Sus scrofa: one gene and its partner. The protein of the gene in region 1 interacts with the protein of each later gene in a biochemical or structural test. Links are inferred from orthologs where the notes say so. Each region holds a gene or a part of one and is shown in the gene's direction. Other genes may lie near its edges. The genes, in order: PTPRB and CNTN1.

Region 1 (6,687 bases):
GCCGTCAGACTAGAGTCTGTTCTCTTCAGGTAAACCTGTGCTGTGCTAGGGTATAAACCACACAACCTTGTTCTTCAGGCTCACCTGCACTTTGGGCTCTCAAGCCACCTTGGTTTGGCTGGATTTAGCTTATGTTTGGCCTCTCTATAGGTGACCCATAGTACTGAGCTCTCTGGCTATAAAAGCTTCTTGAATATAAAGATTACCTTGTTTCTATTTGTATTAAAGTTAGTCACAAGTGAACACTTTCTTAAAACATACGCTGTTCTACAAAGATGCTAGAATCCCTCAGGTTATTTCATGAGTAAAATATAATTTACCAAGAGGTAGCTAAGAACTGAGTGCTCTACAGCCATGCCACTAAAGCCTCTAACCTGATTCTTGAAAATTAGTCTCCCAGATTTTGATTGTATTCTCTAGACCAAGAACCATGTAGGATTTCTGAAAATTATTAATATGTAAAATCTGTCAATGTTTCTTATTCTCAACATTCAGCATAGGGAGAGCCTTATTTCTCGAATGGTCCCACTGCATCATCTGCTCACTAAACATTATTGTCTTAGTTCCTAACCTGGAGACATGCTGTCCCTTGTATTTCAAGTTCTACAGTGAGAATTCAGTATACGGGATAGAGGTCTCCTCAAACTGACCCGTGGCATAAAGAGTTGAAACTAAATGAATAGCCAGTTATAGGACTAACCCGTTTCCACCTGCTCTGGGAGCTTCAGCAGCTCCAAAATGACCCAGAACTCAAGTTTAGAAAGTCTAGGGATATAGGGAATACCAGTTATTGAAAGAATTCATTTGAATGAGCACGCCTAGCCTAGGCTCATAATCAAGTCTGTATCTTTTGTGGTTTTCTGATCTCCAGCTGCTCCCCCAAAGTTGTGTATGCTTAACCCCCCAAACCCACAACCTAAAAAAAAAGAGAAAATTTGGTACAAATTTTAAAATTATTTCTTAAAATCTATATTTTTGATTGAGATGTTCGGTATTTATCCAGGCAGAGCCTAGATGTTTGTCAATGTTTGAAAAGTGCAAAACTTGCAAGCCAAAGTAAATAGAAGCTTGCTTGGGTTTCCAAACTCAGAGCTGTCTTCAAAAAATTTTTTTTATCAGAAAAAGGAGTTATATGACTGGTAGCTAGGTGGGTTTCTATTCCAAGTGAAATGGTAAGTTTGGAAGTGGTGTAAGATACCTGTTTATTTCATTGGCAGCAGATTCTTAAAGTCTTGAAGGAAAATGAATCTGGATTTCAGCAAGGTAAAAATGTATCAGCAAAAGTCTTCAAGGTACCTTCTCTTTTTTTGGGTTTTTGCCCTACAGATCCTTTACCTCCTGCCAGGTTTGAAGTCAGTAAAGAGAAAACTACTTCCACCAGCTTGCATGTTTGGTGGACTCCTTCTTCGGGCAAAGTCACCTGGTATGAGGTGCAGCTACTGGATGATAACCAAAAGACACAGGGGGCCCAAATTCAAGAAAGAACTGCACGGAATGAATATACATTTTTAAACCTCACTGCTGGTAATAAATACAATATTGCCATCACAGCTATTTCTGGAGATAAACGTTCCTTTACAATTTATACCAATGGATCAACAGGTAAGACTTCTTTACAGATAGTTTGGTATTTAACAATCTGTGCTTCTTTGGAAATTATATTAAATTCAAGAAATGGGAGTAAGAATGCCCTGAGTTCAAAAATAAATAGATTGGTAGATAGATAGATGATAGATAGACAAACAAATGCTGCTCGATCACAAGGAAAAGACTGGACTGGAAACAAGGAGGTGTGGTTGGGCTTCTAGCTTGCTGGGTGACTTTGAGCAAGTTATGGAATTTCTCTGGGACTGGAATTTTCACCAGGATGAAGAAGCTATTTCCCAGTGGCCCTTCTAATGCATATCTAAAGCAGCAGAAATTTCTGCCTCATTTTCTCAGTTTTTTCCATAAAACTTATTTTTAAAATATTTTCCCTCCGCTATATATTCTTCTCATAACATCAAGTCATGGTGTTTCCCAAATATTCAGCTGTTTGGAACAAGCCTTTGCTTGTACCCACACATCCGATATCAATTACCATTTCCTTCCATAATGGACTTTCTTACCATTCAGTCTTCCCTGGTTTTCTCGCCTTCTTTGTTGCTCTCTTTCTGTTTCATTTTCTCTAGTTCTTTCCTTTTTCTTTTCTCTTTACTGCTATGCTCCATCAAACTTCATTGGCAAAATCGACCTTAATACCTGCTAAGTGAAGGAGACAAACAGGTAAACTATGATGTAGCTTTAAGCTGTGGGTTTTGAAAAGGGCATTAATCCAGGTTCCAGTAAAATTTCAGGAGTGGTGTTTTCATTAGTTATCACACAAGTTAGGTGTACAGAGAAGCATAAATGAATTGTGATTTCAAATTAAATGGGTCTCTATCTTCTACAAGGAAATTATGAATGACACCTTGGAAATGCATTTTATCCCACTAGTGCCATCCCCAGTGAAAGATGTTGGTATTTCAGCGGAAACTAATTCCCTCCTGATTTCCTGGTCACGTGGCCCTGGGAACCTAGAACGATACCACCTGATGCTAATGGACAAAGGGATTCTAGTTCATAGTAATACTGTGGACAAATCTACTACTTCCTATGCTTTTCATGGACTGACACCTGGTCACCTCTATAATGTCACCATTGTTACCGAGGCTGCAGGGCTGCAAAACTACAGATGGAAACCAGCCAGGACAAGTAAGTTTCCCTAGCTAGCTAATAAGAATAAACCTCAAATCAAGGAAATGTTTAAATAACAATGTTTATTAAAGGTTTGAATAAAGGTAATATAGGACAAATTGAAATCCATGTGTTACAGAAGACCTATCTACTTTTCTGCTTAGAGAAAGATAGATTCCCTTTTTTCCCCCCGTGTTATTCCTTACTTTTAATTTATTTTATTTTTTAGGTTTTTATTTTTTCTATTATAGTTGATTTACATTGTTCTGTCAATTTCTGCTGTATAGCAGTGACCCAGTCATACATGCATATATGTGTATACACACATATATATACACATTATATATATATGCACATTATATACACAAACACACATATATGTATGTACATTCTTTTATGTATATGTGTGTGTGTGTGTGTGTATATATATATATATATATATATGTATACATTCTTTTTTAGAGATTCCCTTTTATTCACATTTAGTCTAGCCCTTGACAACATTCTGGAATAGCAAAGTTAATCAGTGATACAGTGTCAGCTTCTCTTTTTAGTTAAGGACTCCTACTTCCTTCTCTAAAACAGGCATCCTCTGCCTTTGTGAACTCACTGGCAATGAAGTAGTGCTTCGTATAGCTTCCCAGTGCTATACAAAGGCCTACTGCCGTGAAACAGCCATTTCCCAAACCATCTAGCCAATAAAACACCTCCTGAGACCCAATGCTATAGGAGCTGTTCTCATAGCCTAACATAGCCAGAAAACTAATTTGTGCTAAGTTTTAATAAATAATTTATATTCGCATTCATTCATGCATTCATTCATTTAAGCAGTATTTATTATGTGTAAACTATATGCTAGGCATTGTGGATATAGCAATGTCCAAGAGAGACGTAGTCTTTGTTCTCATGGAACTTAGGTTCAAGTGGATTCTAAGGCTTCTGGTAGGAGTAATGTGTTAATAAGTCCTCTCCTTTAGCAAGCTATGTGATTTTAAGAGAAACTCTAAAATATGTAGTGCCTGAGAAATTACTATTGTGGAGAAAGTTCCTTAAACTATAGGAAGTTTGGTGAAGAGATCTTTGGGGACACCTATTCATTTATATATCTTTCGTATCACATCTCAAAGATATATTGATATTCCCAACAAAAATACCATTTAGCTGAAGAATTATTATGTAGCTCTACAGCAAGTTACACTTCTGACTTGGCCTATGCAAATCAGCATGTTGTACTCATTACTTTAATGAAACATTATTAATTTATATTACACCATTAGTGAGACCCAAAATTATAGCATAGGCAAGAAAAGAGGTAGAAAAAATATCCACCAAAGTATCTCTCCTTTGTAACCATTTTCCTCTGATGAAATAACGACATAACTCTTAAGCTTTATCATGACTTAATATGAAAATAAAGTATTTTAGCACACAGAATTTGGTGATAGCCAATCAACCAACCAATCTATTTATTATGTACTTGCTATTATTATGTACATAAAAATGAGAAGAAATTAGGCAGAGACAGACTTCTCTGAGGATTCCACTTAAAGAATTTTAGAACTGGAAAAGGCCATTTTAAGTTTTTTGACCAAGTCATCATTAGGCAATAAGGACCCCTAGGTTTAGTGAGATAGACTGAGCTGCCCAGAATTGCCCAACCAACCAATGGCCAAGTTTGAGCCAGAATCTGGGCTCCTGACTGCCATTTTTGTTCTCTCTCCACTAGCCAGACAACCTTTTTTTGGTTTTGCAGTATTATATTTACCTCATGAAGTCATTTTCTTCAGAGCAGAAAATGTGGCTTGTAGAGATTAAAATACAGGTCAGAATTTTCCCATAAGAGTGGTATGGTGTCCTGGGTTAAAGTCTCTTTCTTTTCCTTCCTGATTAGCCCCTATGGAAGTCTCAAATCTGAAGGTGACAAATGATGGCACTATGACCTCTCTAAAAGCCAAGTGGCAAAGACCTTCTGGAAATGTGGATTTCTACAACCTTACCCTGTCTCACCAAGGGACTGTCAAAGAATCTAGAATATTAGCACCCCACATTACTGAAACTCAGTTTAAAAACTTAACCCCTGGACGACTTTATCAAGTTACCATCAGCTGTGTCTCTGGTGAATTGTCTGCTCACAAGACAGCAGTGGGCAGAACAGGTGAGTCAAGGCTCCAGAAATTCCGTAGTTGCTCAAATCACTCTCTGATTCATCTTAGAACAGGACAAAATACTTTAGAAGGAAAATTCCTTTCCCAAAATGGGAAGTATGATGGCCATTACCATGGCTAAGAATGTCTATGAGCCAGGGTCCCCCCTCTGTAAAGCGCAGGGTTAATTGCTTTCATCTGAGTTATTTAAGCAAATCTATTTGAATTGATTCCTGAATGATCTGGATAACTGGCTCTGCCCTGTGCTATTTCATGTCACACCACTTAAGCAGCCAACATGAATTAGCATTGATACTAATAAATAAAGAATTTCTGATCAGCTATTATTATTGTTATTTTTTTTTTATCTTTCCTTGAGCCACTCCCACGGCATATAGAGGTTCCCAGGCTAGGGGTCCAATAGGAGCTGTAACCACTGGCCTATACCACAGCCACAGCAACGTGGGATCTGAGCCACGTCTATGACCTACACCACAGCTCACGGCAACGCCGGATCCTTAACCCACTGAGCAAGGGCAGGGATAGAACCCGCAACCTCATGGTTCCTAGTCGGGTTTGTTAACCACTGCGCCACGATGGGAACTCCCTATTTTTAAAATTTTTTATTATAGCTGATTTACTGTGTTCCATCAATTTCTGCTGCACAGCAAAGTGACCCAGTTATATGTATATATACATTCTTTTTCTAACATTATTCTCCATTATGTTCCATCACAAGTGATTGGATTTAGTTCCCTGTGCTATACAGCAGGATTTCACCACTTATCCACCCAAAATGCAATAGTTTGCATCTACTAACCCCAAACTCCCAGTCCATCCCACTCCCGCCTCCCCGCTCCCCTTCCCCCTTAGCAACTCCAAGTCTGTTCTCCATGTCCTTGAATTTGTTTCTTTTCTGTAGGTAGATTCATTTATGCCATATATTAGATTCCAGATATGTGATATCATATGGTATTTGTCTTTCTCTTCTGACTTACTTCACTTAGTATGAGAGTCTGTAGTTCTATCCATGTTGCTGCAAATGGCAGTATTTTGTTCTTTTTTTTTTTATTACTGAGTAGTATTCCATTGTGTATATGTACCACGTCTTCTTAATCCATTCACGTGTCATTGGACATTTAGGTTGTTTCCAAGTCTTGTCTGTTGTGAATAGTGCTGCAATGAACATAGGGGTGCATGTGTCTTTTTGAATGAAAGTTTTGTCCAGATATATGCCCAGTAGTGGGATTGCTGGATCATATGGTGGTTCTATATTCAGTTTTCTGAGGTACCCCCAAACAGTTTTCCATGATCAACTCTTTTAATGAAGGGCCAGTTAGTCCTTAATCATGATTTCCATAAACCATTTTATTAATTTACATCACCAAACATATATCCAGTGCCTTCCATGTGTAAAGTACTGTGTAATTTGCATGTGTAAAGCTTTGAAAGTTGTTAAAATAGCAGAGTTCGGGAGCTACACCCTTCAGCCAAATATGGCCTGTGAACTGTTTTTATATAGCACCAAGCTAAGAGTGGGTTTTACATTTTTAAAGAAATTAAAAAAAAAAAAGAACACAAAATAAAAGTACAAGACAGAGACCCTATATGATCCCCAAAGCCTGAAATATTTACTTTGCCAACCATTTTGCTTCTAAGGAAGTTAAATTTTAATCACACAAATGTAAAAGACAAACACAAAATAAAAATAGTGCCTTTTAATAATGATAATTGTATTGATATATTCGTGGATCAGACATTGACTAAACACTTTTCACCATTATTTCGTTTAGTTCTCACCACAAAACCACAAGAAAGGCCCTGTTAT
Region 2 (6,687 bases), about 38 Mb from region 1:
AATGAACTTATTTGCAGAACAGAAAGTGACTCACAGATTTTAAAATACTTACAGTTACCAAAGGATACTGGTTGCAGGGGAAGGGGTGGGCTGGGGGTTTGGGTTGAAAATGTTGTAAAATTGGGTTGTGATGATGGTTATACAACTATAAATATAAAAAAATTCACTGAGTTTAAAAAATTTTTGAAAATTACCTATCCAGGAAATACTTCAGTTCCTTGTATGTATTTCAAAGAGAAGTATACATTATTTAGCAAGGTTGTATACGTGATGGATTTCAGAGTAATACAGTGAAACTAGCCAAATGTCCTCTGGTTGCCAAAAGAAATCCTCTCTTTCATATTGTCCAGACTTTCTTGCAGCAAAGGGGAGAAATCTCAGACATCTATCAATAAAAAGCAACATTTTTGAAGCAGGTGCCAGCACCGAAATCTTCCTAAAAAATAAGTTTTTAATAATCTATTATAAGCAAGACAACAGTGCTATGAGGAAAACAAGTGTTGGCTTCTTCAGAAATGGTTAATTTTACCATCCACATGAGGCAGGGGAAGACAGATTAAAAAAATAATCCATTGAGTTCCTGTGAGAATTGGGTCAGAGTTTAGCTCTTGATTGCCAGAATTAGGTCTCATTCTTAAGTCTGAGCAGAGCAGAGCAGCTGCAACACCAATAATGGGGCAATTTTGGTAGTTCTGGTGTGGAGAAGGAGGTCAGGAGATCAGTTCTGCCTCCCTGTTGCTGTATGATCTTGGGCAAGTCAACCCAGCTAAACCTCTGTGCACCTGTTTAAAAATGGCAATGACAATTCCTACTTTTGTTTTCATGACAAACAATAGCTTCTAATATATGGCAATTATGATTTTGCTGAAATGGATGACTTATCAGTGTGCAAAATTCATTAAATAAATATATTTTAAATCTTACAATACCACAGCAGCAAAGACCAAATCTGTCTTGTTTAGTGGCACATAGAAGGTACTTAGTGTATGTTAAATAAGTAAACTGGATAATCTATATTGGGCCTCAAAAGAACAGACCAATTGCTATGTAGTCTAAGACTTCATACCACAATAACTTCTCTGACCTAGTTTATCCCATTCCTCTTTTCTTATGAGGGGTACATAGAAAATTTTCTTAAAATTTAGAGAAATTATGAAATAGAGTGATTAAAATAACCTGACCAAAGTCTAGAATTAAAATGCAGATAATTTAATTAAGCAATTTAATTAAATATATATAATTCTATATTCACATAACTATGGAGTACACTGACCATTCTGAAGGCAACTTCATGATTTCATGGTGACTTGAAATCATTGTGTGGTTGAGAAAATCCTTTTTCCATAGGAAATCTATACTTCACTCTTTTTGACTTTTTTAACTTTTTTACTTGTGGCCATAAATCATTACAAAAATATCCACTTTCTTTTTATATGAGAACAGGGAAAATTACTTCAAAAGGTTTACAGTCTATTAAAGTAAATATACTGTAAATATTCTTTTGGATCAACAAGTACATGCATTTGGGTGTGGGCCTAAAAAGACAAAAAGTAAAAAGTGAAAAAAAGTAAAATAGGAGTACAAAAAGTAAAAGGATATAAAGTGATAGTACGGTTAGTAATCTTGATTTCATTTATAGATTGCAGTAGGGAAAATGGATTATGAATTTTAGAATTATCAGACCTGGATTCAGAATCCCAATTCCACTTAACAGTCATGAAATTCTAAATTATTTACTTAACATCTCTGAGTTTTATTTATCCCATCAATGAAACAAAAATTAAAAGTATGATAAACCCATAAAATAATTGAGAGAAGTAGATAAAATTGTTTAGCACTATGCTTACAATCAATCAAACTATAGTAGTAGCTTTTAGAAAATTGGCACTATTTATCTTGGCTTACATCCAACATTTGCTCTTCAAAAGCCTAGATTAGATTATGTTTAGCCTATTACTAGAAAATAAAATCTTTACTTTTGAGAAGAGCTTAATATTTAGTACACAATATTTTCTTCTAGATGATCTTAGCTACCGCTGGCTTCTAAATGAATTTCCTGTATTTATCACAATGGATAAACGAAGATTTGTGTCTCAGACAAATGGTAATCTCTACATTGCGAATGTTGAGGCATCAGACAAAGGCAATTATTCCTGCTTTGTATCCAGTCCTTCTATTACCAAGAGTGTGTTCAGCAAATTTATCCCACTCATTCCACTACCTGAACGTAAGTATTTTATTTGTTACACTCTGTATTTTGCAAGTTTGTCTGCTTATAGCATACTAATAATAGTGAAAAGAAATATCTAGTGGGGCATTCCCTGGTAGCTCAGCGGGTTAAGGATCCGGCATTGTCACTGCTGTGGCTCTGGTTACAGCTGTGACGAGGGTTGGATCCCTGGCCTGGGAACGTCCATATGCCTTGGGTTCCTTGGGGAGACTCTGGCAAGGCATATAGAGAATACAAACTTTGAAAATCTTGGTCTTTCCTTAGCTTTCCTCATAGTGAAAACTGATATCATAAAATTTCCCTGAGACAGCTGACTTTGGACTGGTTGCCTGTAGTTCAGGGAATGCATAGGGAACTGAATCATTAGCCAAATACTAGTTTGTTGATTTCACCAGCATCTTTTTGTTTCATGACTAATTTCACCTACTAGTAAATTCATGGAAGATAACAAGTGATTAAATAAAACCAAACTATATTGATTAGAGAATTAGGGTGAAAAAGGCAGTTGGATTATTTGGGTATTTTAAAGGAACTATTTATGTGAAGCAATAGTTCCTTTAAAGCCCATTCTTGACTGGGCTTTTCCAAGATTCCAATTAAACTACCTTCCATTTTTTTAATGCACCACTTCCTGAGAAAATCAGATCACAGTATATTTTCTTACTTCACATTAGTTTATCGCAATCTTGCTGCTACTGAGTTCACGCTTCCAAGGAAATACTGGTTCTGTTTTTGGCAGATTTAGGTTTGGTTCCTGTCTCTACCCCTAAGCTTCATATGATAATGGAGTAAATTCCAATATATCACAAAAATTCTATTTTCATTAGTCTTTTCAAGATGGCCACCACATGGTTAGTATTCAATAAATATCTTCCGATTTTCTGGCTCTCTCATCCCTCCCAAGTCTTAAGAGAGATTCTTACCACTACTTCAGAGAGTGAAAGGAAACCATCATGTAGAAACTTCCCTAATTTTCTTCCCTATGGTCCCCCCAAAATTTAGTACTTCGATTTACCTCTTACTTTCTGTCTCATTTGGGAGAAGTGTTTTTCCTGCCAGTCAGGCTAATCCCTCCAGTTGCTCTGGCTCCATCCTTTTTGATTCCTTTCGGCATGTGATATATCACTTTTTCCTTTCTTTTCTGAATCTTAAAATCTTCCTACATGCCTTTCATGTATTCTTTTGTAGTCAATGAAAACAATCTTGAATAATCAAAATGACTTCTTATTTGCTGAATACAAAGGATATTTTCAGGCTTGATCCTGTGCAAACTTTGACACTGTTGATCTCATCTGTTTCTTTTGAACTCTATCTTTTTTCCTAATTTTTCTGACTCCTTCTGCCTCTTTTCATTGCCTCCTTGCCTGGTCAACAAATTCTATGCAGTATCCTCTATCAGATCTTTCTCCTAATATTCATTTCTAATCTTTTTCTAAGTATTCTTATTCATTTACAACTTTTTCAATAATAACCCTATGTGGATAATTCTAAATTCACATCTCCAAAATTTTTTCCTGGGCTAGGTCTTTATCTATATCCTGGGCTTGCCACACAGAAGGTTCTCAAGGATTTCAGTTTGAAACATGACAAACACACCTGTTAGTGCCTCTCTAAACATCCTCTTCTGGTGTTCTTGATCTCATTTAGCAACATTGTCATATACTTCATTTATCAGTAAGTCAGGGCAGGATTTTTCATCATCAGCTCCTCTCTACTGTCATCCTCAGGACAGCGATTCCAAGGGTCCTCATTTAGTAGATAAGCACTTGAGAAGTTTGAGGAAAATGTGGAACCCAGAGATAGTGACTCAGCACACCTAGGATGTGACCCAGGGATCTATAACTTCAGTGAGCATCCCAGGTGATTCTGCTGGGTTTTTACCTTGAGTAAGCATTGATACAAGGGGCATTCCTGTTGATTCTGCTTCTAAAAGGCAGCTTGGATCTCTTCCTCCTTTCTGCTCTCACTGTGACCATGCCCTAGATCATACCTTCACCTATTTTTCTGAATTTACAAAGCACCCTCCCTTAGATCTCTTTTGTATTTTTCCATCCTTTAAAATGCCAACAAGAAACCAAAGGTAAGATTCATGCTATTTCTCTTCTTAAAGCCTATTGGTAGTTACCCACTGAGGAAATTAGTCTCAAAATATTTAATATCATGGTTTCAAGCCTCCTAGATTGTAAGTGCAAGCTCATCTTCCCCACTACATAAATATCAATATCGTTTTAATTCTTAGGTCTTTTATAATTCCCACACACTTCTGATACTGTATTATAATATGCTATTTCTTTAACCTGAACTGATCTGTTTCATATGCCCTCTTTGCCTGAAATTCCCTTGGTCCCTACATACTTACAACAAATATCCTTGGCTACCACCCTTACTGGGCATTTATTTTTATTTTGACTTACATCTCAACTACTTGTGTATCTGTTGGTCTCTCTAATGTTATACAGTGTAAAGTACACACATATGTTGTGGTCTTAAACAGTGTACTTAGCCTTCCTGGGTGAATTTCTTCCATTATAAGGTTGAGGGAATAATACATATTTCAGTACAGATAGGCTAAATAAGTGTTGTCATTGATGAGCACAGACATGCTTAAATAAAGATTTTTCTTTTCTTCTCTCCTCTCTTTTCAAATTGTTTCTTTGCTTTCATCTCTAGGACAATACTTTCTTCCTTACTTCTCTTTCCTTGCCTCTCCTCTTTCTTTTCCTCTCTCTTCTCTTATCTCTCATTTCTTTTCTTCTCTTTTTTCTTGATTCCCATATAGTACCTGGAACAATGTTTAACACATATTTGATGCTCCCTAAAGAACTGAATTGTCCAGTGATGTTTAACACATTTGTTCTTTAACTGAGTTGTCCAGTGAGTTGGATCACATTGGTCACACAGTTGTCAGAATGAGTCAATATGATTGAAAGTGCTTAATAAAATTTATATTGTATGAATACCATGCACAAACAAATCAATACACTGTGATGTGATTAGATAATTTCCAGACGTCTATTTTGAAGCAATTCTAATTCTGTACAAATCACAATGTTGCAAAACACTACTCTGCTTACTGCTGATATTTTTGTTTTATTTTGTTTTCCTTTTGTAATTAGGAACAACAAAACCATATCCTGCTGATATTGTAGTTCAATTCAAGGACATATATGCATTGATGGGCCAAAATGTTACTTTAGAGTGTTTTGCACTTGGCAAGTAAGTAGACTCACAGTTTTCCTTAATGTATATAGAACTGCATTAAATTTTATATTGTTTTAGGAAAGAAATGTTGTAAATGTTTAGTTATATATATAGATCAATTGCCTTTTAAGTGCTGTGCTAGTAGCTCTTGTTACCTCCTATTTAAAGTCCTGTTCCTGATATCCGGTGGCGGAAGGTCCTGGAACCAATGCCAAGCACGGCTGAGATCAGCACCTCTGGAGCTGTCCTCAAGATCTTCAATATTCAGCTAGAAGATGAGGGCACATATGAATGCGAGGCTGAGAACATTAGAGGAAAGGATAAACACCAGGCAAGAATTTATGTTCAAGGTAGATATATTGTTTTAATCCTCCATGCATTTAATATATATATTTTTTCGCCACCCCATGTCATATGGAGTTCCTGGACCGGGAATCAGAATCAGATCTGAGTCGCAGTTGCTTGATCCTCAACCTACTGTGCTGGACTGAGGATCGAACCCACACCCGTGCTCCCAAGATACCACCAATCCCATCACACCACAGCAGGAACTCCTAATCTTTTTAAAAGCACCCATTTTCATACTTTAAAAAACCTAGTATAAAATGATGAATAGTTTAAAATTGTCTACTAAATCACAATATGAGTCTAGAAGTTATGAATTCATGCCACTGGTATCATAGGAACACCAATGAATCAATAGTAGTGTTCTGGATAATTTTCAGAAAATATAATTGATATAGCTTACTGCCTTTCTTCACGTTCTCTTTTTTTATTTGTAGAAGAACCTGTTCATTATGACTTAGCTTAAGCCAGTGATTCACAAACTTTAGCATGTTTTACACTCACGTGAAGGGCTTATTGAAAACACAAATTGCTGGTTCCCATCCTCAGAGTTTCTGAATTAGAAGGTCTGTGGGGGGGCTCACGTATTTGTATTTCTAACAAATTCCTGGGAGATGCTGATGTTACTGATTCAGGAGTCACACTTATTTTTCCAAAATTTTTCTTGGATGCAATATTTTTTGGCACATATGTTTGACTCTCATATGTTAAGCTTATATTTGGAGGAGAGAATGTTGTTTTTCCGTCAGTGCTTGAAATTTTTCGTGCTGAAATCATCCTTATCTTTTTCAACAATGTGAAATTCACGGGTCACATTTGAATAAATATCTAAGGCTTCAACAAGATTATTCATTGACAGGGCACATATACACTGAATGTATATTCAGAGGCAGACATTAGGCTAGGAGCAG

The links.
Region 2: the proteins of PTPRB (region 1) and CNTN1 form a complex in vitro, tested with the Homo sapiens proteins (2 studies listed by BioGRID). The link is inferred for Sus scrofa from reciprocal best matches to the Homo sapiens genes PTPRB and CNTN1.

Annotation. Positions count from the first base shown.
Region 1 is NC_010447.5:34,741,003-34,747,689, reverse strand, and holds part of PTPRB (receptor-type tyrosine-protein phosphatase beta), read left to right. Parts: intron 1-1,326; coding exon 1,327-1,602; intron 1,603-2,475; coding exon 2,476-2,733; intron 2,734-4,606; coding exon 4,607-4,870; intron 4,871-6,687. UniProt on the Homo sapiens protein: Plays an important role in blood vessel remodeling and angiogenesis. Not necessary for the initial formation of blood vessels, but is essential for their maintenance and remodeling. Can induce dephosphorylation of TEK/TIE2, CDH5/VE-cadherin and KDR/VEGFR-2.
Region 2 is NC_010447.5:72,366,112-72,372,798, forward strand, and holds part of CNTN1 (contactin-1), read left to right. Parts: intron 1-2,020; coding exon 2,021-2,227; intron 2,228-5,346; coding exon 5,347-5,446; intron 5,447-5,599; coding exon 5,600-5,781; intron 5,782-6,687. UniProt on the Homo sapiens protein: Contactins mediate cell surface interactions during nervous system development.